Drosophila melanogaster: one gene and its partners. The gene in region 2 interacts genetically with the main gene of each other region. Each region holds a gene or a part of one and is shown on either strand. Other genes may lie near its edges.

Region 1 (3,782 bases), on a different chromosome or scaffold from region 2:
TACTGGTAACGATGCCCCTGGCAATAGTTGTATTCTTGCACTCTCGCACTGACATCCCGCCATTTTATCACTCGGTAAGATCGATTTCTTTAGAGAAAGCAATAAATTACCCTTAAACTTCGACAGTCTTACTGCGCGCTTACAATCTCCACCGTGATTATATTCTTTTGGATTTGTGCCTGGGAAATGGATGCGCTGATATCCATAATTGGGGTCGTCTTTGATCTGGCCCCGTCCTACATGAGCATCACCTTCAACTCGGTGTCCGCTGCCACAGCTGACTTAATAGCCTACGCACATCTCGCCAAGCATGGATACGGAAAGATGGCTTTTGGAGCCATCATCGGTGGTTCTGTTTATAGTTAGTGGTAAAAGTCGATAATTGCGTGCTAGACTATCCAATGTCAATTTTCAGCATCTAAAATTGTTTTCAAATCTCAGAAAACCAGTTTCTCTAGGAATCATGCTCATCAATCATCAATCAATGATTTGGCTTCTGCTTTAAGGTCATTGTAGAGGTCATAAGTAAAACAGTCTTTTCCCGCAGGTTTGGCAGTCAATGTGGGCATCGAATTGGTCTTACAGAAGAAACTCAACTCCCGCGGTCAAGTAGTCTTGTATGGAGATGACGGTGTAACCATCTACATATTCCTGGTGATAACCATCACAACCACCTTGTGGTGGTGCCTCACCTTCAACTTTGTTGCCCGCCGATCCGCTGGGCTGTTCATGTGGTCCCTATTCGTGTTGTTCCTAGTTTACACTACGGCCATAGAGTTGCAGTGGGTCCATGGCTTCCAAGACAATATTCAGATTCGCCCGACTGCCTAATAAACCAATGTATTGCCAAGACAAAAAACACGATTATGGTGCGTTTAACTTTATTTAGCGTGGTTTGTGTCAAGGACCTAGCCAGACCAGTGGGACCAGCCGCGGATCTCGTTCCAGATGTGGGTGCCGGGGCATTCGGTGGCGCTGACCTGGCGATGACCGTACAGGATGTAGCCGGAGCTGAGCTGGCCACGGTTGACGGCGTCGTTGAGCAGCTGCTGGGCGGCGGAGATCATGTTCGGCTCCAGGGTGTCCCAGTTGTAGTTGCCCAGGAAGCTGATGCCGATGCTGTAGGGGTTCCACTCGGCGGCGTGGGCGCCCATGTTGTTCCAGCCACGCCCCTCGTACACGTTGCCGTCTCCGCCGATCAGGAAGTTGTAGCCGATGTCGGGCCAGCCCAGGGAGTCCATGTGGTAGTTCTGGACGCTCTGCAGCACGGCGTTGCACTGGGCACGGGTCTCGCAGTAGGAGCCGGCGGTGTGGTGGATGATGGCGTAGCTGAGGTAGTTGCCCAGGCCTACGGTCCATTTGGCGCCGCGACCACCCCACTCCGCCTTGGAGACGACATAGACGCCCTGGGCCATGTACTGGCTGCAGACCAGGACGGCGAGGAGGAGAGCCACTTTGGAAACCATGATTACCAGCTGTAATAGTTGACGATCGCTTGATGGAGATCGTGGGTCGCCGTGGCGCTTATATAGCATCAGTTATGCGTATGGGTTGCCATCTTATCTGGTGGTTCATGGCTAATTTACAGCCCTCGTCGATGGCACATGTTTAGGTTCGTATTAGGGGAAGACCCTTGGCGTGAGCCTCGTCACAATCGCAATCTTCGGGTGTTGATTTATTCAGCGTTTTATGAATGTGGTTCTTCTAAATAAATGCTTTATCAATGTGCTGGGGTCGACACATTGGCCGGTCACCTGAATGTCTTTGTAGAAAAAGTCAAGGAGTGTTGTTCGATTCTCGTCAGTTCTAAATTTAATTCTCAGCATATTCTTTTGACTTTGAGGGAAGAATTTGAATACAATGAGTGGGCGAACGAAAAGGACTAAATTTAACATAACAGAACTGGACCACGAATTTCACTACTTCATCAAGAATGTAAGATATTGTGAGAATACAGTGAGAAATTGGTGGCCATAGCATTTGTTGGCTCTTACAGATGAGTTGTAGGGCCGTGATGAGACTTCCGTACAACTATCGCTGCAGGATGGCCACCCAAGTGAGTGACTGCAAGCGCATTATAAACTTTTTCAATTACTTCAGGATGATGTACTGCTCAATTGACATCGATGACAAAGCAACAGAGGTCCTGTTCATGTTGCTGTTTGCCTTCATATGTGTGGCGTTTCTGTGGCTGATGTCCTTCAATATTGGTACCTAGTAAGTTTTTGGATAAAGTGCACATTCCTCTGATTGCTCATTCGAAATCCTGCATTAAGTTTTTCTCCAGTCCTCAAGATCATCTCGCTAAAGCTGCACATGAATGAGTACCTGGCAGGAGTTACCTTTCTGGCTTTTGGTAACTGCAGTCCAGAAATAATAGCTAATCTGATGCCCGTGAGGGCCGATGCACCCATCTTTACCATAACTGTGGGTAATACTCTGGCCATCATTCTGCTGAGTGGAGGTACAGTGTGTTTTCTGAGACCCTTTAGGATGAACGGACATTCCACTCTGCGAGATCTACTGTTTCTTCTCCTGGGTGTGGAGGTCCTGAGGTTTGTGATGATCAAGGAGGGAGCAGTGACCCTGGGAGAGGGTATAGGTAGGAATCTATTTTGGATTTGCCTCAACTCACTGATCTTTAAAACCTACTTTCAGTGCTCTTCTTAATTTACGTTGTTTACGTGGCTATTAATATAGCTGATTTGGCGTTGCTGCGGTACTACATCAGAAGTAAGGAATATTCCCCCAATTTTTTAATTACTCTAGTTATAATAGCAACTAATTACATTTACCATTCAGAACTTCGAAGAGAACTGGACTATTTGGAGGGCCTAACTCCTCCACCAATAACAGAAATAAATGCAAAGATAAGAAAGCTAATATCTTGGGAAGAGCAGGATGACATTGGGATTAAGGACACCACAAAGTACCGTCGGTCCAGAGACACGGGAAACCACTTCTCAAATATGACCAGTAGTGGCTACTTTGTAACCCCCATCCCAGAAAGACGATCCGAACACGTTGACTACGAGTTAAATCGCACAGCGCTCCATGACTCGGAGAATCCTAAAAACCTACAACTTTTCACGGAGTTCTTCCAGTCTCTCAATCCCGTTGATGCAGAGGCGTGGCAGCTGGGTGGGTGGAGCAATCGAATATACCTGATTGCCAGGTGCCCCCTGGTGTTCGTACTGCAGCTCTTCATACCCGTGGTGGACTACGAAAAGATCAAGCACGGCTGGAGTAAGCTGCTCAACTGCACGCAGATCGTGACGAATCCTTTCGTGGTCATTACCCTGGTGCACTGTAGGTATGCGGGAGTACATCAGAAGTGCATTTGATTCCTAAACCTCGCTGACCCTCAGCTGGGGTGTCCAGCGTCTACAAAACCTGGCACATAACCCTCGACTTCAGCATCTCCATGTGGTCGCCGTGCCTTACAGTCCCGCTAGCCATTGTGATCTTCCTGCACTCTCGAACGGATGTGCCGCCCAGCTATCACCACGTAAGAAGATCCAAAGCAGCACCACTGCGTGCTGATTAGACTCGAATGGGTATCAACCTTCCTTCCTAGCTGTTTATTATCCTCACGTTTTTCAGTTCCATGGTGACGCTCTGGCTCGCCGTCACAGAACTGGAAGTGCTCTCCGAGATTGTGGGCATCGTATTCAATCTGTCCGAGAGCTTCATGGCGGTCACCTTTGAGGCTGTCTCCAATGCCACTCCGGACATTATAGCCAATTACCAGCTGGCCTTGCAGGGCTATGGGCGGATGGCCT
Region 2 (5,657 bases):
CTATAAGTAATAAAAAATGTATTAATATTAAAAAATCCCCCGACACTATTGGCGTTAAAACTTTTTCTCTCATGAATTTTATTTTATGTGAGACAAATTTTGGGTTCGTGATTTTCATAAATATTTTTTAATTTTCAAGCTAAAATATTTTCTATACGTAATAAAATTATTTGGCATTTTAACAAAATTTTCCATAATGAGTTTTGTTGCCTTGCGCAATTAAATGCATTTAATATGTTTTTATAGTAACATGTAGTATTTGTTCTAGGCGCATACAATGAATCTGTCTGCTTTGTGGGCCATCTGCTAATCTACCATTCGCAGCACGGTCGTTAGACCTGGCCAATTGGGTTGAGTAAACAAATAGTCACACGCGCTCAGTTTTGGCCCATTAAAGCAAACAGAACCGCGGCAAGGTGAAGACAGAAATGAAACGCAAACAAAGGCAGCAGGAAATAGCAAAATAATATATATATGTTTTAAGGATATATATCCCAGAAAATATATATTTTAGAATAGAAAACTAAAAAGTTGAAATTATCGAACTAACGATCCTCAAGAATAACTATGCAGAAAGATGCGAAAGCAATCGAAAGTTACAACTTTTAAGATTCCATTCTTAGTATAGTGTACAAAAACTAAACGATATCAGATTTAGATTTTAAAATACAATCTATTAAATTAGCTTAGAATGTCTTACCCGGCGCACTTCCATTCGTGCTGGGACCACCATTGAATGCGGGGTTATCCTGTCCACCAGCTGGTCCCTCGCCCGGTTTCCACTTGTCCCGATTATCGATGAGAAACTGTTGTATCGTCACGGGTCCCTCGTAGAAATGCTTATCACCGAACGTCACATCTGTGGAGTTGGTCAGGGCGATGCTGCCAATACCCTGCGTGGCACCGCCCGCCGGCGATGTGGGCGTGGCCACGGCCAGATTACCGTTCAGTATTTGCTTGGCCACAATGCCAGCTTCCAGGGGATTGGGTGGTGGTACTGCCGCCTCACCTGGCGCCACATGGCGACTGATCACCGTTAGACCCTGGTTAAGGTCGCGCAGGTGTGAACTGTTGGGCGGGTAGGTGACCTGGTGACCCAGCTTCTGGACCGTATAATCCTCCGCTTCGGCCTCCGAATCACTATCAATACTACTCGAGTCGATGGCATTATCATCGATGGACACAACGGAAATTGTGGTACTCCGTATGGAAACCGCCGGCGAAGATGTCTTTCCAACATTTTCCGTTGTTATATTGACAGTGTGCTCAACGCTGATACGCTTGGATTCCGTTTTCTCTTCCGATTTCGATTGGAACTGCCCTTCGCCCGTCCCCCGATCTTTGGTCTCCTTCTCCGGCCGGAATGCCGCCACATTATCGTTTAGTATAACGCCCGAGTCTGTGGACGAAGTACTGCAGTTTTTTGGTCCAGTCAACGGATCGTTTACTCTACGTTTCGCATTGGAACATTGGCTCATTTCCGTTTCATTGCTAAAAGGCATGTCGAACTATCGTGACAGTCACGTAACCAGATTGATATTTTCTCTGGATCTCTGAGCGTTATGTGTTAGCCTTCCTATTTAGCAGATTGGGCGGTACATTATTTTTCGTATGGCAAAACGGCTGACTAGGCACAGCTCTCGGCAAACATCACATCATGAGCATCTGCAAATAAGTATACGTTTTTTTTTTTGTTGGTCCCGGTTAACTTGATGATAATAAGCTAGTCAAACGTTGTCAAATTTCGAAGAAATTTTTTGTTTGAATTGGGCTAAAGTGGGCTTAACTTTGGGGAGGCACTTTGGCTTTATGGTGCACTGATTTTTTTATTTTTGATAAAACCACATAATTCCCTTGTGTGCAAGTGTTTTTAGAACATTGATAAATATATGTATATATTTTAACAATGTATTGCTGATATTATATTATGCGATAAGCTAAGTGATATTTATTTGATAGCTTTGAGCATTATTAAACGGTTTGGATAACACACACAATTTAGAAAAATATTTCGTCAGTTCTTTAATACTTTTCAATTACACATGCTTTATAAAAGTGATTTTATTGTTATCACAATCCATTAGATCGTTCAGTTGCAATATGATTTATAAGTACAATCAACGCTTTTAGTTCATGTATACACGATTGTTGATAAGCTCGATTGCCAACAGAGTTTTTAAAACGCGAATAAAAAACGTTGCTGCTGTTGTATGGCAGTGAAGTTTGTATAATTAAGATATAAGGGTATTGAATAGTGCTGGAATATATGTGTATGTATACAGTTGACTTATATTGTATACTCGTCAAATTCGATTCAAATAGTTGGTCAGTAAGCTCGCACGAATGCAAGGCTTATGCAAATTAGCTATAATCATTGACGTAGTCTATTTACTTAAGTGGATTCCGAGAAACACAAAAGTAGTAGTTGTTACCCATACATATGCATGTTATGCTTAATTTTGGATATTCGAAAGCCACGAGTGACGTCTTCAAAAGGCTGAAAGATCATTATGGGCATATGCCGTGACGTCTTGATGATACGTAGATACGAAGGTTTCCGAAGAGGTGTGCCAATTTCAAAACAGTAACTCTATTTTAAAGAATTCCGCGAATTGTGATAAACTCGATAGAATTGAAAGGGTGCCTTGGAGGGTAGCGACTTTATACTTTAGAATCGATGTTCTAGAGAGTTGGCACAGAGCACGCTTTTGAGATAACACCAAATGGAATACACCGAATAACGACAACGGCTACAAATGAGAAACGGAATGGCATTTTGAGTTTACCGAGCGCACCAATACACGTGCACGGGAGCGGCGGCCATTGTCACTAATACACGCACAGATCATCACAATATGGGTGCTCTTTGTTTTGGTTGTATTCTGTTTGGAGAATCGATAATAATTAACAACTCTGATGTTTTACGTGTTTTCAAAATTATCATTAAATATGGCCTATGTGCAAATTAATTGATTTTCGATCGATGTTTCGATAGCATGTTTTCTTTTTCACTTCCACGAATTTCTTTCACTTCCTTTCGTGTTTCGAAAGGCTAATTAACATTCCTGGAACATAAAACGATTGGAGAAACAAACTAGTTTGCACTTAAATATCGATATAATTGCTCAATTATTTGTCACTAGTCATATAATAGGATTATGATTATTTTGCGGTGTGTAATATTCTATATAATCACTCTATATTCTATTCTATATTAACACTTTGCATATCGTTACGCACTTTAAATTGCCGACGAAAACCGTTGCAGCTCGTTTGATATTTGAGCGTCTATACTATATAGCCAATTTGTAAGTCGAACTTTTTATACCGTTTCGCGCCAATTTCGAATCGTTGAGCAGCGGCGCGTTCGAGTGACTCTGATCAACTGAGCGGCGATCAAATCGCAGCGGCCTGAAAAGCTGGAGCGTCTGATATGGCAGCGTGTGGGGAGCGTGTGTGAGGGAGAGCAGATCGCTGAGAAAAAAAAAACAAAGAGAATGATGGGGAGAGAGCGGTCGGCGTTTTTGCGTTTATTTAACCAAAGTTGTTTAATTTGAGTCCGATTTTCAGGCAGTCCAACTTGTTACCGATTTGCATTTTAATAAGTGATTTCTCAAAAGATCTTAAGAGTGCAACTCAAAAGCCTTGTTCCAAAAAACTTCTAAATCGTTTTAGAAAATATAATTTTTTAACATATAGTGTTTACATATTACATAATATGAACGCGTTCTGTTGTATTTTCTATCCTTTTTGTAATCTAGCGTTAACCAATAAAATGCAATGATTTAAATTTTCCTTAAAAAAAACTGTACATTTTAATAACTTATGATAGCGGTACAACTTTTTCTCAATCGAAACTGGTTTAAACGAAAAGCGAGTGATCCCAAGAAACCGAAAGAATTCCGATAACTGCATCTGGCGAGCTGCATATTTCGGTTTTTCCGAGCGTCATTAAGTCGCGGAACCTGTTCTCGATTTCGGGTTTTTTTTTATAAATCTTCCAGATATTAGTCAAATTTATAACGATACCTCCAGCTACGCCCCGTGGCTCGAGAATGGTCTCTCCAACTTCTCCCACCTGACGATGACTGTTTGTTTTTGTTTAGTTGTTTAGTCGTCCGCACCGACATCGACACAGACAAATCGGCGTATACGTATTATATATGTACATATGTATGTATATAAATATATATATTTTTTATTTATTCAACCAATAAACAACACAAATCTCCGGCTCTCTCCCGTCTACCAAAACACTTACAGACATTGCAGTGTGGGCAAAAATGTGAACATTTTAAATTGCGCTACCATTTCCGAGAATTGTTTTGTTTTGCGGCCCGCAATCGGTTTTTGGCTATTTCACTTTGTGGTACAGGCCAGTTATATATATATATATGTATACATATGTACATGTGTACATAGCTCTTTTTTTTCTCTTCCAATTCCAGCTTGACCCATTGTACTTGTGTTGAAAAATATTTAATGTAATTATAGGCGAACGGCGGTTCGGCGATCTCTGATAGTCTGAAAAGGGCGCCGGGAAACTGTTGATGGATAAAACGTAAAGAGCAACAAATTGGCGAAACGAATTCCGAACACGCTTACAGAAAAGAAAAATAAAAATATAATTATAAGTGGAAAGCGCAACGAGCTTTAATCGAAATAGTTGTAGACTATTTATAATATTTTTTCTCTCAGTGTTCCTGACTTACTGATAAGCTTGTTGAGTGGCCTTTAAAATGTATTATTTTATTGCAGTTAAAGTTCTACACCGAAACATCTAATGATTTATGCCTTTTGTAGCCAGGCAATCTATTCTTTGTTGACCCATTATTTTATTGCGAAAAATGCCAGTAATTATTGTAAATCATTTCCAATGAAGCAGATAATAATTTCTTTACAACGGTTGCGAAATCAATCACCATAGCTATTTTAATATACCTACCTCCACATATTTTCTTACCTTAATTATTATTAATTATTTTTACTTTTTTGGTTCCCTCTTCGCATATGTGTTTTTTTCTTCTTCTTTTTGGTTTTTACACGTGCCGTACTCTCGTCATTGTTTTGGCCAAAAATTCGTTCCGCGTTGTAGGTATAATTTTTTTTTTAAGGCGCCGTGAGATTAATTAGTCAATGAATGTATGTACGTCACTCTTTTGGGCAGGTTGGACTTTAGGTCATTGATGAAAAGAGGGTTAAAAGGCACACCCACTAGTTTATTAGCTTTCCATGTCGTCATAGTTTCAGCTCATCATTTGATGCGCAAGTTAAAAACATAAACATTTCGAAGGAGTTTCTTTTTTTTTTTACCAATATAAATCATCGAACGTACTTCTCTGTTGAGGGCTTTGAACTGAAGGTCGGTGATGATAGCAGATCTTATTGGCAAATATCCATTTCATTTTTAATATATTTCTCTGCTATTACCAGTCTTCCTGTAAATAGGATTGTAATGACTCCATATGATAACAAAAATAAAACATCATTATTATCATTGTACATATATTCACGTTGAAAGGCAGATAAATGACAAAGGCAGCCACAGCGATCACAACATCGTCTATATAAGTGAAGTGAAGTGAAGCTACCGATAATGATGTTGTACTGGCGCACAAAGGCTCTCATATATTTACACACACACACAGACACACACA
Region 3 (5,789 bases), on a different chromosome or scaffold from region 2:
CGGACGGGCTAAATTGGATCTGGAGCCCTACCTTACCAGCTCAACTCACCGAAAGTTGGGTAGGGAAAACGTGAGAAGCGTAGTTTGGATGTTTGGTTTGATTTCATCTTTGAATTGTGCAAATGAGTAGCACGAGCCAGAGCCATGGGAGTCTAAAAAGTGGTTAGTGGTTCCACTGACCAATGGGCAAACTTACCGAGAGGAACAACTGATGAAGTAAATGTGTATCTGTGCACGTTTCGTACCACAAGTAATGGTTATACAGGTGTATGTGTCCACTGTTTTTTGTTATCAGTTAAATAAATTGAAAATCGCGGAATGGAAATTTAAGCTTATGCAAGAATAAAATCGCTATAATTATAATGGTATTTTGATTTTGATCATTTTTTACATTCATTTTAATTGGCCCGATGACAATTCATGCGATACGGTCGGCTTGAATCCACCCAGAATTCCAGGGATTTCGTTCTGCTCCGTTGGGCCACTAAATTTGTGCGTAAATTGAGTTCCATTCGGGTTTCGAGTAGATTGCGGCCACAAGACCCATTTCGATCAAGGGTGTAAAAAATCTGGCGACTAATTTAAAATTAGCAAGTGGAATTAGCGCTCGCTCAGATCCGTAGTTAGCACCAATCGTTGGTGTACAAAAGTGTGCACATCCTGACATTTTTATAGATATTCCGTAAGAATTGTCAAGTGACTGCGCACACGCCACAGCTTGGCTGCAATAATAACCCATATTTTTGTTAATGAGAAAATATTTTGCTTCTGTAATTAAACGATTTTTCCCCAGGGAAGGCAGAGTGAGATCTCGAGATATTGGCAAAGCACAATTCCCCAAACTCTACGCTTGGATTTGTATAGGTTATTACGCGACAATCGAGTATGTAAATAGGTTCGAGTTGATATACGGATGAGTGGATTTCGCGTAAAGAGTTTGTCGAGGGAGTCCCCATAGCCAGTCCAGTCCACCTGTGTAAGTGATAGCCAAAACTTGACATGACTGGCGCTTTCTTCCATTCTCCATGAAACTTTGATTCCCCCATAAATCATTTAAAAACCGGCTCATAGTACACCAGATTTCTTGACTTTTTGTGCCAAACCGTGCTGAAATATTTGGTATGGAACACATTAGAAATTTATCGCACTCGAGGTTCATAGAAACTTACCCCAGCAGAATAATACCGATGCCAAATAAGAAGGCGCTAAACACGTTGAAAATCCCCGGTTCAGTGTTCAGTGTACGGGTGTAGATCGCAACGTACAAGGTGGAAGATATGAGGGGGGAAAGTGCTTGCAAGACACCAAGCAGGGCAAAGATTTTGCCTAGAAAGGGGAAACCACAAATATGTGTGTTAAGAACATGATCATAAGGCATGCCATCCGTACTTACCGCGCTCATCAGCCGGCAGCAAATTGGTGATCATGGTGCGGCACATGGGGTTCACAAGCGACTTGAAAACGCCCAGCCCAATAGCCACGTATATCTGCCAGCTCTCCAAGGCGAAGCCCTTCATCAGGCTGCTGGAGCAGTGGCTCAGCAGGGAAACCAGTGCCAGCCACAGAATCGCCGAATTGGTGCACTGTCAGTCAAAGGGGTCATGGGTCATAGGTCAAGCACCAATTTAGCTAGCTATCACATACAACTCACCTTGCGGAGCGACCAAATAAAGAGAACTCCACCTGAACCAGCCACTGCGGGTACAAGAATGCCAACGGTCTCGTACTCAGTAAACTGCTTTACGGTCCAATGGAACTTTATCCTCATAAACTTATAGAACACAGAGTTGCTGCCGTCTGGCGATAGCCAAAATGAATATATCAAACCAAGATCTTTGTCAATGCTTATCCACAAACAAAAGGACGTGTCAATTAATAACAAACCCATTTCAGAATTTCAATCGATTTATGAAATCTTGAAGTGCCAAAACGATTTAGGTTCATAAACGTTTTCAGGGCTTTCCCGTATGATCACCTCGATTTTAAACGACGCTTGCATGCTAAATTATGATTTTTGGAACTTACCCGATACAAAGGCGGTGAGGAGGAGTACTACCATGATGGTAGTGAGCATGAAGCGATTCTGGTGCTCACGAGGCTTCGAGCAGGTGCTCCACAAACTCTTCAGCATGGAAACCACACTGGTGTCAGTCGTCGGTGTTGATAGTGTCCTATTTCTGGCGGGCAAACTCTCCGGTAGTAGGAGTGCCATCAGAAATAGAGCCGTGAAAATGCAAACTGCAGATATGCTGAACACAATGTAGGCGTCCGTGGCCTCGTATGCATAACCAGAACCAAGGCTACCAAGGAGTAGGCCCACATATATGGCCAGTTCATAGGCAATCATCCTAGGGTGCATAAGTCCATAAGTAATAGTAAATCCACTCGATTCCTTGGCTAACTACCTGTAAGATCGAACTTTTCCGCCGGAGACATCGGCAATAAAACAGACGGCAGCCACGGAATAGGTCACACTGCTTCCCAAGCAAGAGAGCGGTACGATGGATAGCACATACCACCAGGGACTGACCAGACCTTGGGTGTACATGGCACAGTAGGCAATCGCAGCTGAAATGAGATACTGAAGGCCGTAGCCTGCATAACAGGTTAAGCACATGGGCATCTTCTGACCAGCGGTAGTTTACACCCACCTAGAAAAGAGCACATGAGAAGGGGCTTGCGTCCATAGTGGTCCGCCCAGGAGCCAGCAAAGAGCCCACAAAAAGCGGGAATAAAGCACTCCACCAATCGCATCGCCAGTGTGACCTGTGCAGCGTATGGCTGTACCTGCTCCTCAATTCTCTGGAAAACAGGATATTAAATCAATTGCTATATTCCCTTCCAGAGTTATTATCCCCACCTTTGTTTCATTCGTGATATTTTTAGTGCCCAGCAGCTGGCAAACGCTATCCGGATATCCGAAACCCGCGGTGCAGCTTTGGTAGATGACTTCATTCTTTAGAACGGTTGCTAAAATCCAGGCGATTACACATAGCCTTAGTGATACGAATGCCCTAAGATCATTTCACTGGACTTACATGAAAAGTTGTAGGCAAACAGCAGGATTAAAATAAATGGTTCGAGTAGATACATGCCCAGTGATTGGGGTCTTGAAGCCTGAGGATTGCCTGGAAATTCTGTACCAACTGCAATAGCTGACGCACCGGAACTGCGCTGCTTCTCGCTAGCTGTGCTGGCAACTTCCGGATCCGCATCGCCGGATCTCTGAGCTTTGGCAACCAAATTTTCGTGGGCGTGAGGTTCTTCGTTCATCTCTGTAACTCAACTGAGTCTTGAAATGGATTCATTGCCTTTAACGAGAGGCGACAAGATTTCAGATAAAGAGACGGGATACACTTATGTATGTGTGGGAGCTCTCACTCAGAAGGCATATGTACATGCAGTATGAAGTATGCTCTCCTATTGTGAAGCCTCTTATCGTAAAAGAGCAAAAGTAGTTCCGTAATAAATTATTAACTTTTTATTTATTACAATTTCCTATTTTATCCTTAGCGTACCAACTGGTGTTATTCAGAAACTTTCGTTTATATTGCATGACCAATTTAAATTGTTGATATCGAGGGAACACTGTAGTTTTTTTGTGATCCCCACACGTGAGTCAGTTTCGTACTGAGCATTTCCTCTTAGGGACTTTTTTTTATTGGCACAACGTGCCGTATCTAATGTAAGAGCTGAGTTGTGGCTGCAAAACAATAGATAAACACTCATTAATATGCATGTTGTGAATCGAGTGCCAACTTAGTTTAGTTAATAAATGATCGACTCTTTAATTAGTACACAAAACTACTCTAATTTGAAATTTCTTTACCTTTATGTAGTTTCTTTGGCAAGTACATATGGTTAAAAATATAAGATTTAAAACATTAAACATATTTTCGTAATTTTTGAAATGCATTTCAATTTATTTTCCTGATTGGTGAAATTTAAATTTAGCCGCACTGTTATCGATTATTTATAATGTGGACAAACTATCATCGACGATAGTTCGATATCGATACGTTGTTGAAAAGAATATAAATAAATAAAGGCGCCCAAAATGGACCTCAGGCCTATGATTTTGCAAACATGCACGGGAAGATTGCTATCCGAATACCAATTAAATTTACTCCGTAAGAACAACATATGCTCCTTGATCGACTTTTATGATGCGGATGAGAAGAAACTCCACGAGCTATGGGCCATAAACATACAATCTGTTCGGGAATTGAAGAAGGAATTGTCTCTGTTGCCAAAAGGTTCAGTTGATGAAGGCACTCCGGACTTCAATTACGATACAGGAATCGAAGAGTAAGTCTTTTTATGATTGTACCAGGACTTCGGATTTTATAGCTCAGACCACACACCAGGTTGGACAAACTGTTGGACTCCGTAGAGCAGCCCTTTAAGCCAGGCAGAGTCTGGGAACTCTGTGGTCAACCAGGCGTAGGCAAGACCCAGCTGTTGTACACGTTGGCCCTAAATTTCGTCTGGAAGCATAGCCAGGCAGTATTATTCATAGACACCAAGCGGGAATTCTCCTGTAAGAGAATACAGGACATGCTTCGGGCCAGGGAAGTGGATGAAGAAGCCAGTGAAAGGGCCATGAAAGGAATCCGGGTGGTGCAGGCTGCCACTGGTGCTGATATAAATGATCTGCTAAAATCCTTTGATCATCAATTGACCGCTGAAACACATGCTTCCATGCAAACGAAGTTGGTCCTTATTGATTCGCTTGCCGCTTGCTTCGCTTTCTATCGCGGCCGTAGGATGCGGGACGTCAGAAAGTCAGTGCTGACAGAATTGGCTTGCAAGATCCGGAAACTAGCTCTCAGGGGCGTGGCTTTTGTCATTGGGAATGTGTCATTCTTTGAAAACAATAAAGGTATGTGCTAGTTTCACTTGTAAATTACGGAATTAAAACTATTTACAACTTTATCTTAATAGATAGTTGTGGTGATGATGGAGAGCAAAATGGCGACGATGAGGAAGTGACACGACAGCAGTTGGAGCCCATGTTGGGATCCTACTGGAGCTCGGTTGCCACGCTCAGATTGTCGGTGGAGCTTCCAGAGGAAGAGGACTTCACCCTCCAGGACGATGGCCTGCGTTTCATTTACGTCATCTCGAACACATATGGCCCTGATGGTGAGCACTGTCTGCTGCGCATCACGGATGCAGGCGTGGTCTAACGCCGGGCAAATGGATTTTGCGGATTTTGCTGTTTGTAGGACTTCATAACCCGTTTGCCCGGCTCCAGAGCATCGCCCAGACCCGGGCGCTTACGCCTGTTGAAATTACCCGGTGCAGCTTCTACGACCACAGGCACTGATTGATCCGGTAATGCACTCTTCTCCGCCGCCTCATCCACCGACAAGTCGGAATCGTGAGCATACTGGCAACTGGTGCCAAAGCGGCAGCGTCCCCTTCTAAAGTTCCAGCAAATCTTACGGCCATTCTTCAACTTTTGGTGCGCGTCGTTGTCGACCATCTTCACGTGCCGCTCCAGCGACGCGGTTTTATGCAGCTCGGCCTCCAGGAAGGGATTGTTAAACACATCTCCCTTTCCAGCTCCTTGGGAAAAAGCTTGGCTAGCACTGGGCAACTTGGGAGGAGGAGTCTTCTCATTTTTGGCTGGTGCCGCACTGGAAATGCACAAGAATTGGAATCCTATGTCATACAGCAGGCGATAAGGAAGGTCACCTCTTTGTTTCCCCGTCTTCGGAAAATTGGCCACTGCTGTCTTCATCGGATTCGGAGGAGTCGCTATAATCTGCCACCAGCGACATTAT
Region 4 (6,881 bases), on a different chromosome or scaffold from region 2:
CGTAGGATAAATATCCTGATCGCACACTAGATCGAACTGAAATAGGAGGATTTAATGGTTTATAGTAAGCCAATCCTTCGCTCCTAGGTAAAGGTAGTACTGATGCTTGGGAAATGATTCGAGCAACTCCTACATGAATGACGTTGTAGTTTCAAATGAAGGCTTGGTGGTCTGGATTGCGCACATCAATCACAATGGAGGACCAGACGACGCTTGTGTTGTACTCCCATCCCTGGGGGCACTTGATCAGTGGCCAACTGGCATTCGGCTCCATGGTCGTCAGGTCATCCTCTTCCCCCGATTCAAGGAGCTGCGTCCAGTTGACTCCGTAGGTATAACATTTGCTGTAGACCAGTTCGTCGTTATCCTTGAAATAATTATTTCATCAGTTATTTCAAAATATATTTAAATAATAGAAGGCATAGAATATAAGGTTTACCTCTCCCCCATTTCATTGTTAGCCCCTTCGATTACTCATCGAACCACCCTCGTATCGACCCTTCACCTTAAGCAACGCACAATCAATGGGCTGACTTGATTGCCTTAGCCTCGGCACTCGTATGGCTGCAATTACTCACCAGTTCCTTGGGTATGGACAGCGATTTTCGCTGCTCCAGGGGCAAGTCGAGTAGCTCCGGGATGCGACACCAATAGTCATCCGGAGTATCAGCCATAAACAACTGGTTAAACGCACAAAAACCGCACGGTATGCAGGCGGGCAGGCAAATTCCGAAAACCAAGAGCTTCTGGTATTTGCCGAATTCGCCAATGGTGGGCAGAAGGTCGTCCAGATCGAAGGCCTCCTGGAAAGAAAACAGCAAATCTAGAGAAGATCAAGGACCGTGTCTCACAGATATGCACATCCACCGAGGGCTGGGATTCGGGCTTGTGGCGTTGTCGCAGCTCCGAAAGTTCATCGTATTCGTCCCCATCGTTGTCCTCAATATCTGACATGGATGCGCCTCTAGACAAGCTCTGAGCTGGAAATGTTTACTCACACTGCCCGATTGGCTCAGCTCACGGAAGCCATAGAAGCAACCACTGACAACTGTCAGTTGTCTAGGGTTGAAAGAATGAGCTGGTTCTGTTGATAGTAAAAAGTTTGTCGCAGTGGGCTCGATTCGTAATTTATATTTTTGTTTATTCTTTAGTCGCAAGTTAGATTTAAATAGTTTAAACTAAAGTATTTAAAATATTACACGTGAATTCAATCCTGCTCGAATTACGGCTAAGACGAGCCACTAATTACAGTTGTTAGGCTTTGATATTACAAGTAGAGAACGGGGTTTAAAGTACTTCGTTATGCAGCTCAGTACATTTAAAGGGATTTTAGTTTTTTTTTTCTTGATAATTTCTTCTTTTCTTGGAATCGTTGCTAGAGCTGGGAAATGGACAATGCTAAATTTTACGCCTAAAGATTAACAGAACGAAGAGCTATACAAAAGATGCTTCAAGTCGTTTTAACTCCAACTCGTTCGCTGTTTACTGCTTAAAAATTATTGCGCGCTTCGTTACTCCACTGTTCCTTGCCTGATACAAACATATGTTATTATACACATATCAATCGTAATTATAGTAAACAGAAAACTGTCTGTGCCGGGCGCACAGCGCAGAAATCACACACACATTAGGCTTAAGTGTAAATTTGTGGCTACACATACAAAAATACATTCGCACGAGCTCCTTCTTGAATTATGCGGTTTAATCCACCTTGACAACACTGTAGATCTTACGTATGAACCAAAAGCACGCGAAGAACCCGATGGTGCCGGTCAGCAAGAAGAACAGGAATACCATAATGGCCGTGTAGCCGAAATACAGGAACGTCGAGGCACTGTCCTTGATCGAAAGCTTTGTGACGAAGTAGTGGCAGCAGTATATGAACAGATAGACTGCTGTGAAGCCGGACGTCAGGAAGGAGCGCCACCACCAGTGATAGTCCTCCGCACACAAGTGAAAGTAGCACAGCAGAATGGTGGTCTCCGAGCATGTGATGACCAATATGACAAAGACCAGGAACAGAAAACCGAACATGTAGTAAATCTGGCTGGACCACAGCGAGCTCAGGATAAAGAACAGCTGAATGAAGATGCAGCCAAAGGGTAGAACGCCGCCCATAACGATTCCAGGAATAGGCTGTGTGTAGATCGATTGGTCCGGAATCTGACGGGGAATCTGGTTGGTACGCACAGGGTGCTCCAATGCCTGAAATCGTACAGACAAATGTAAGGAACCATTTTAAAAACTAGCTAAATATATACTCACGCGCTTGCGGAATCCAAAGTAAGCTCCTACAAAGGTTAGTGGCACAGAGACGCCAAACCACAAGGCAAGCAGAGCAATTAGCGTGCTAAATGGCACAGCTCCGGAGCTATTTTCCCCCCACAGCACCAGGTTCATGACGAAGAACAATGAGAAGACCACACTAAAAAAGAAAAACGATTAAATAATAATATCGCTTTAATTTCAAAGAACTTACCCAGGGCAAACGATCGAGGTAAGGATGACATTACTCTTCCATTTCAGCCCACCGAAACTCTTGTAGATACGCGCAGACACGTAACCAGCCGGTGTACCCAACGAAACAAACAAGACCATGGAACAGGTCATCAGGGCTCCCCGATTGGCTGGGGACAAGAATCCCAGGCAGGCAAATGCTAAGGTGATCATGGCCATCACAAGCACCTGTACACCCGAACCCAGGAATACCGACAACAGCATGCCCTTCCGCGGCGGCCTGAACACATCACCATGTACCAGTTTCCAGCCAAACTCCTCCTGGGCATCCTCACCGCTATCCATCTGATTATAGCGGGCTATATCTTTGTGCAACGTACGCAGCATTATCATTGCCACCATGCCACTCAGGAAAAGGACAATAACCAGGGAGTTGAGAATGGAGAACCACTGGATATTCGTGTGCGGCATGGATTCCAAAATGTAGTCCCAACGTGATGACCATTTGATAGAATCGTTCTTTACAAACTTCACGCTGTACGTGTAGACAATTTCCAGCTGTTCTCCAGCCTTTAAAGAGTTCTCACTGATTGCCAGTGGCTCTGTGCTCAAGCAATTGGGGTTTTCCTTATCGGTGTGCTTAATAGATTTGGGAGTCACTTTTACAGAGATTATGCGTCCACTGTTGCCGAACTGAATTCCCCAGTCCTCCGACTGTCCACTGTGATAAGTAATCTCGAGATCCACATGGTTGAATGGATAATAATGCATTGGCTGGTTATATATAGAGTTGATGGGACAACCCTCGCCATCACTGCGAACTAGACAACCCATGGGAAAACCAATTCCGCAGTATTGCTTGCCGTTCTCCAGTGGGTAGCACCATGTAACCGGCATGTTGTCCACAATCCAATGATGTTGGTAGTTCAAGCTGATTCCTTTCTTAAGAACCATCATACGACGGTTGCTAGCCGGATCGTCTCCTTTGTAAGTCTTGACACAGGTCTAAATACGAAGAGTCATTAAATCATTATGTTGGTAATGCGTTAAAACTGTTTAATCTTACGGTCGCACATTGCTGGTTTTCCAAGAACTGAATTTTATAGGGTCCTGGACGAATTCGCTCTCCGAACACAACCTGTCCCAGATTCTCCACCGGTGAGTTCTGCTCCTCGCCCAAACAAAAGTCGAAGTGATGGTACTCATAGGGTATTACGGATTCCTCAGTGTTTAAGCGGTTGACGTACAACAAGATTTCCGACTGAAGAAGATAATCAGGAATTAGATCAATCAATTGGATTGACAACTGTTGATAATACTAGTGTATTTTAATCTTATCGTGGAAATAATTATTAAAGTTTGGTAAAAATTCCAAAAGTTTGCAAATGCGTTCGATAATTTGACCCCGTAATTTGCTTTTACTTTGGGTTCTTAGAAATTTATCTTATCAAAAAGCTCTCTTAGATTGTTAGAAACAATTGAATGTGAAACACCTTAATTAATTCTTATCATTGGGCAACGTCTAATTTAAGGGCGTATAAACCGATTAGGATTTCTTGACCTACGGGTATATTAAAAAGTTGTTTAGATTTGTTTAAAGATAAGATGAAGCAAACAAAACCAATAGCTCACGCTTTATCATCCAATAGTTAGGTCATCTTTTAAAAGGGCTAACCCCATCTATTTGGGATATCAAACTAAAAATTATACTTTGTCCTGAATTTATATTGTTATTGTGTTATACTATTATTACTAAAAAGAAAATAACCCAAACATAATGCAAGGAAGCATGACAAGCTAACCGCGTTCCCTGGTTCAATTATTGGTTAGCCGCCACTATGTTAAGATTCTTAAGGTCGGGAGCCCCCGAAATCGCATTCGCGAGCCAGCTGAACCAACATTAGAACTCCCATCTAGCTGTCGCTAGGAAAGAGAGCTGGCGTAGGCAACGTCAGCAGAAGTTGAGATAGAGGGCCACATATGGACCCCACATATAACTAGTTACTGCGCTTATCAGTGCTTCCGCCTGTGACCACCATTAGAGGAATATAGAACCAATGTACATAACTAGTTCCAGTGCCTTTGCTAATTGTGGCGGGCGTGGGGCAAACACACCCACTATCTACGTACATATGTACATCTGCACTTCTGCACATACGTATACACCTACCTTGCATGTGGATGAGACGTCGGTTTTCTTGCAGAAATTGACCGGTGCCAGTCCGGGCAGATAGAAGGCCTGTGTCGGGGTCGCAAGGTGCAAGAGAACGACGCCCAGGAGCGGCAGAAGTCCGGATAGCAGGATCATCTCGAATTGGGGTAACCAACGAACGGCAGGAGTAGCAGACCTTCTTCCTTTACTTGTACGGGTTGTAATCACAACGTGGCCGTGTCCGCGATTCTCTGCCACACTTTCCGGATCGGCGGGCCACGCACAAACCGTACTATCTGGATATTTATCGGAATATACGGAGTTTTTCGAGTGTTTTTACTACGTTTCCTCTTTTTTGCCGAACGTCAGCACTGTAGCAGCGTTGCCACCTAGTACAGCTGAGAGGGCTGCCAACTGGCTGACAAAAAAACTACCAGCATTTGCAAAGCTAAATATTACCGCGAAAACCTTTAGCTCTTATTATTATTACGTGCAAAACGAAATTTGGTAGACTTAATAAACTTTTATATTTAAATTAATTAATTCCCCTGTTCAGTAAGCGAATGCAACCAATATACACACGTATACGTGTGATACTTCTAAGATATTACTATTTTTATCCACTGTTTCTTAATATAGTAATCAAATTTTGTTCATTTGTTAGTTTTTTACCTACGACTCTTAAGTCAAAGTATTCGATTATTTAGTTCGTTCGAGGTTTTGCTTCCGTGCTTATCTTTGAATATGAAAATTTTCGATAAGCACAATCATTCAAATTTAACGATTGATTTTTGGGGAGGCAAACGCGTTTTAATACAAGTAGTAAGTATTTTGGTCTTATCGTTCCTGACTAATAATATATTTTGTCAAATGGTTGCACATTTCCTACGCATTTAAGAATATTTAATTAATACGTTATTAGATTTAAAAATTATCGATAGTTCGAATAAAGCAATCGAATAGGTGTCGCCTTTTTCATCGAAACTCAGTGCTATCAAATAAAAATCGACATTCGTTTCAGCTCTATTTCAAATCGGAGACACAAGAAATATATTGCCTGCACTTCCCGAAGAGCAGATAAAGGTTCTGCCACCATTAAATAGGCTTATAATAATAACTAAGAAAATCGCCGTTAGGAATCCCGCGCTTTTTTACCGTTCCCGAAAAATAACCAAACAACAATGTGAGTAGAATGAAGAGTTCTACTGAACGCGCTTGTTGTGTGCGTGTGTGCGAAAAAATCAATTCTTTTGACAATCAAGGTGTTGCAACCTGTCGAAATAAAATCGCCAGCTTCAGCGGAGCAGCCCAATAACTTTAACTCTTTTGTCTCCACCATTTGCAGCCGACAGACTAGTGTTGTCTAGTAATTACGCAAAAATTCCATCACCCACACAGACGCACGAGCTGCAGAAAGAAACGGAAAGTGAAGTAGAAATCATATAGAGAGGAAAAGAGCGAAGACATGACTTCCGATATCGCCATGCAATTGATTGCCATTTTGGAAAAGACGGTGTCGCCAGGTGAGTTTCCCCACTGCTACAAACGTGTGTGTATAGATCCGAAAAATATGGATTTTTCTTCGATTGGCGGGAGGGACGCGCGTTATATGTTGCGCAGGGTTGCAATAGGCGCTCGCATATGTTTGGTTGCTAGGGGCCTCCGCACACATGTGCATCCACGTACATACTCCAAGGGAAACTTGGCGGCGCGTCTGTATGTATTCGCAATGCTTGCGCTCCTACAATTAAGGATGTACGAACCGCCTGCGACATAACCTCACTAACTCTAGGAATCGATGAGGCGTCGCTTCGGAGTCACCACCGTATGCTTGGCGGCCAGTTCTTCCGGTTGCTGATAAGGAATGCCTGCAAACTTGCCCCTTGCCTGAAGATTTTATGCTCCACCGCTACAATTCATTACTAGACCTTACTGCTTAGCTCTTCATATGCACACACTTCTTTCACCATCTATTGTATTCTTATTAAACAATATTCTCACTATATACGCCTTGCCTAAAAGTTCCTATCTTGCCTTCACATTCCCAAAAGTCAATTGTTGTAAAATTCAATGGCCTGATACCAAAGCTTTAAGCCGACCCAAAATGGTGGGCGTGTGTAGGCCCACAAATAAAATCTTTCGTTGACATAATTGGAAATTAAAAATGTCTAACCAACCAAATGACGCATTTTCAGACAAAAATGAGCTGCTATCGGCGAAGAACTTTCTGGAGCAGGCGGCGGCCAGCAACCTGCCCGAGTTTCTCAAGGCG

What was found.
Region 1: of PGRP-LC (region 2) and PGRP-SC1a, changing one suppresses a phenotype caused by changing the other (phenotypic suppression), as found in Drosophila melanogaster (one study listed by BioGRID).
Region 3: of PGRP-LC (region 2) and CG8046, changing one enhances a phenotype caused by changing the other (phenotypic enhancement), as found in Drosophila melanogaster (one study listed by BioGRID).
Region 4: of PGRP-LC (region 2) and TM9SF2, changing one suppresses a phenotype caused by changing the other (phenotypic suppression), as found in Drosophila melanogaster (one study listed by BioGRID).

Annotation. Positions count from the first base shown.
Region 1 is NT_033778.4:8,707,447-8,711,228, reverse strand, and holds PGRP-SC1a (peptidoglycan recognition protein SC1a), read right to left. Parts: upstream 1,497-3,782; 5' UTR 1,467-1,496; coding exon 909-1,466; downstream 1-908. Other genes in the region: CG14743 (uncharacterized protein), read left to right, coding at 1-74, 127-361, 548-831; CG14744 (uncharacterized protein), read left to right, coding at 1,861-1,935, 1,997-2,217, 2,277-2,602, 2,659-2,733, 2,803-3,309, 3,369-3,508, 3,578-3,782. UniProt on the Drosophila melanogaster protein: N-acetylmuramyl-L-alanine amidase involved in innate immunity by degrading bacterial peptidoglycans (PGN). Plays a scavenger role by digesting biologically active PGN into biologically inactive fragments. Has no direct bacteriolytic activity.
Region 2 is NT_037436.4:9,338,173-9,343,829, reverse strand, and holds the start of PGRP-LC (peptidoglycan recognition protein LC), read right to left. Parts: upstream 3,393-5,657; 5' UTR 3,241-3,392; intron 1,666-3,240; 5' UTR 1,503-1,665; coding exon 701-1,502; intron 1-700. UniProt on the Drosophila melanogaster protein: Major activator of the imd/Relish pathway and is likely to encode a pattern recognition molecule for the humoral immune response. Required for Relish processing and nuclear translocation following proteolytic cleavage.
Region 3 is NT_033778.4:9,161,678-9,167,466, forward strand, and holds CG8046 (uncharacterized protein), read right to left. Parts: upstream 3,291-5,789; 5' UTR 3,274-3,290; coding exon 3,039-3,273; intron 2,971-3,038; coding exon 2,861-2,970; exon of another isoform or gene 2,803-2,860; coding exon 2,652-2,802; intron 2,596-2,651; coding exon 2,406-2,595; intron 2,349-2,405; coding exon 2,026-2,348; intron 1,798-2,025; coding exon 1,652-1,797; intron 1,584-1,651; coding exon 1,394-1,583; intron 1,327-1,393; coding exon 1,170-1,326; intron 1,108-1,169; coding exon 1,050-1,107; 3' UTR 749-1,049; downstream 1-748. Other genes in the region: Rad51D (Rad51 recombinase D), read left to right, coding at 4,058-4,308, 4,368-4,882, 4,945-5,189; CG42382 (uncharacterized protein), read right to left, coding at 5,186-5,642, 5,701-5,786.
Region 4 is NT_033779.5:20,729,299-20,736,179, forward strand, and holds TM9SF2 (transmembrane 9 superfamily protein member 2), read right to left. Parts: upstream 5,012-6,881; 5' UTR 4,766-5,011; coding exon 4,628-4,765; intron 3,719-4,627; coding exon 3,524-3,718; intron 3,463-3,523; coding exon 2,480-3,462; intron 2,426-2,479; coding exon 2,266-2,425; intron 2,206-2,265; coding exon 1,702-2,205; 3' UTR 1,118-1,701; downstream 1-1,117. Other genes in the region: CarT (carcinine transporter), read right to left, coding at 1-36, 185-367, 579-803, 862-954; Fs(2)Ket (female sterile (2) ketel), read left to right, coding at 6,075-6,132, 6,805-6,881.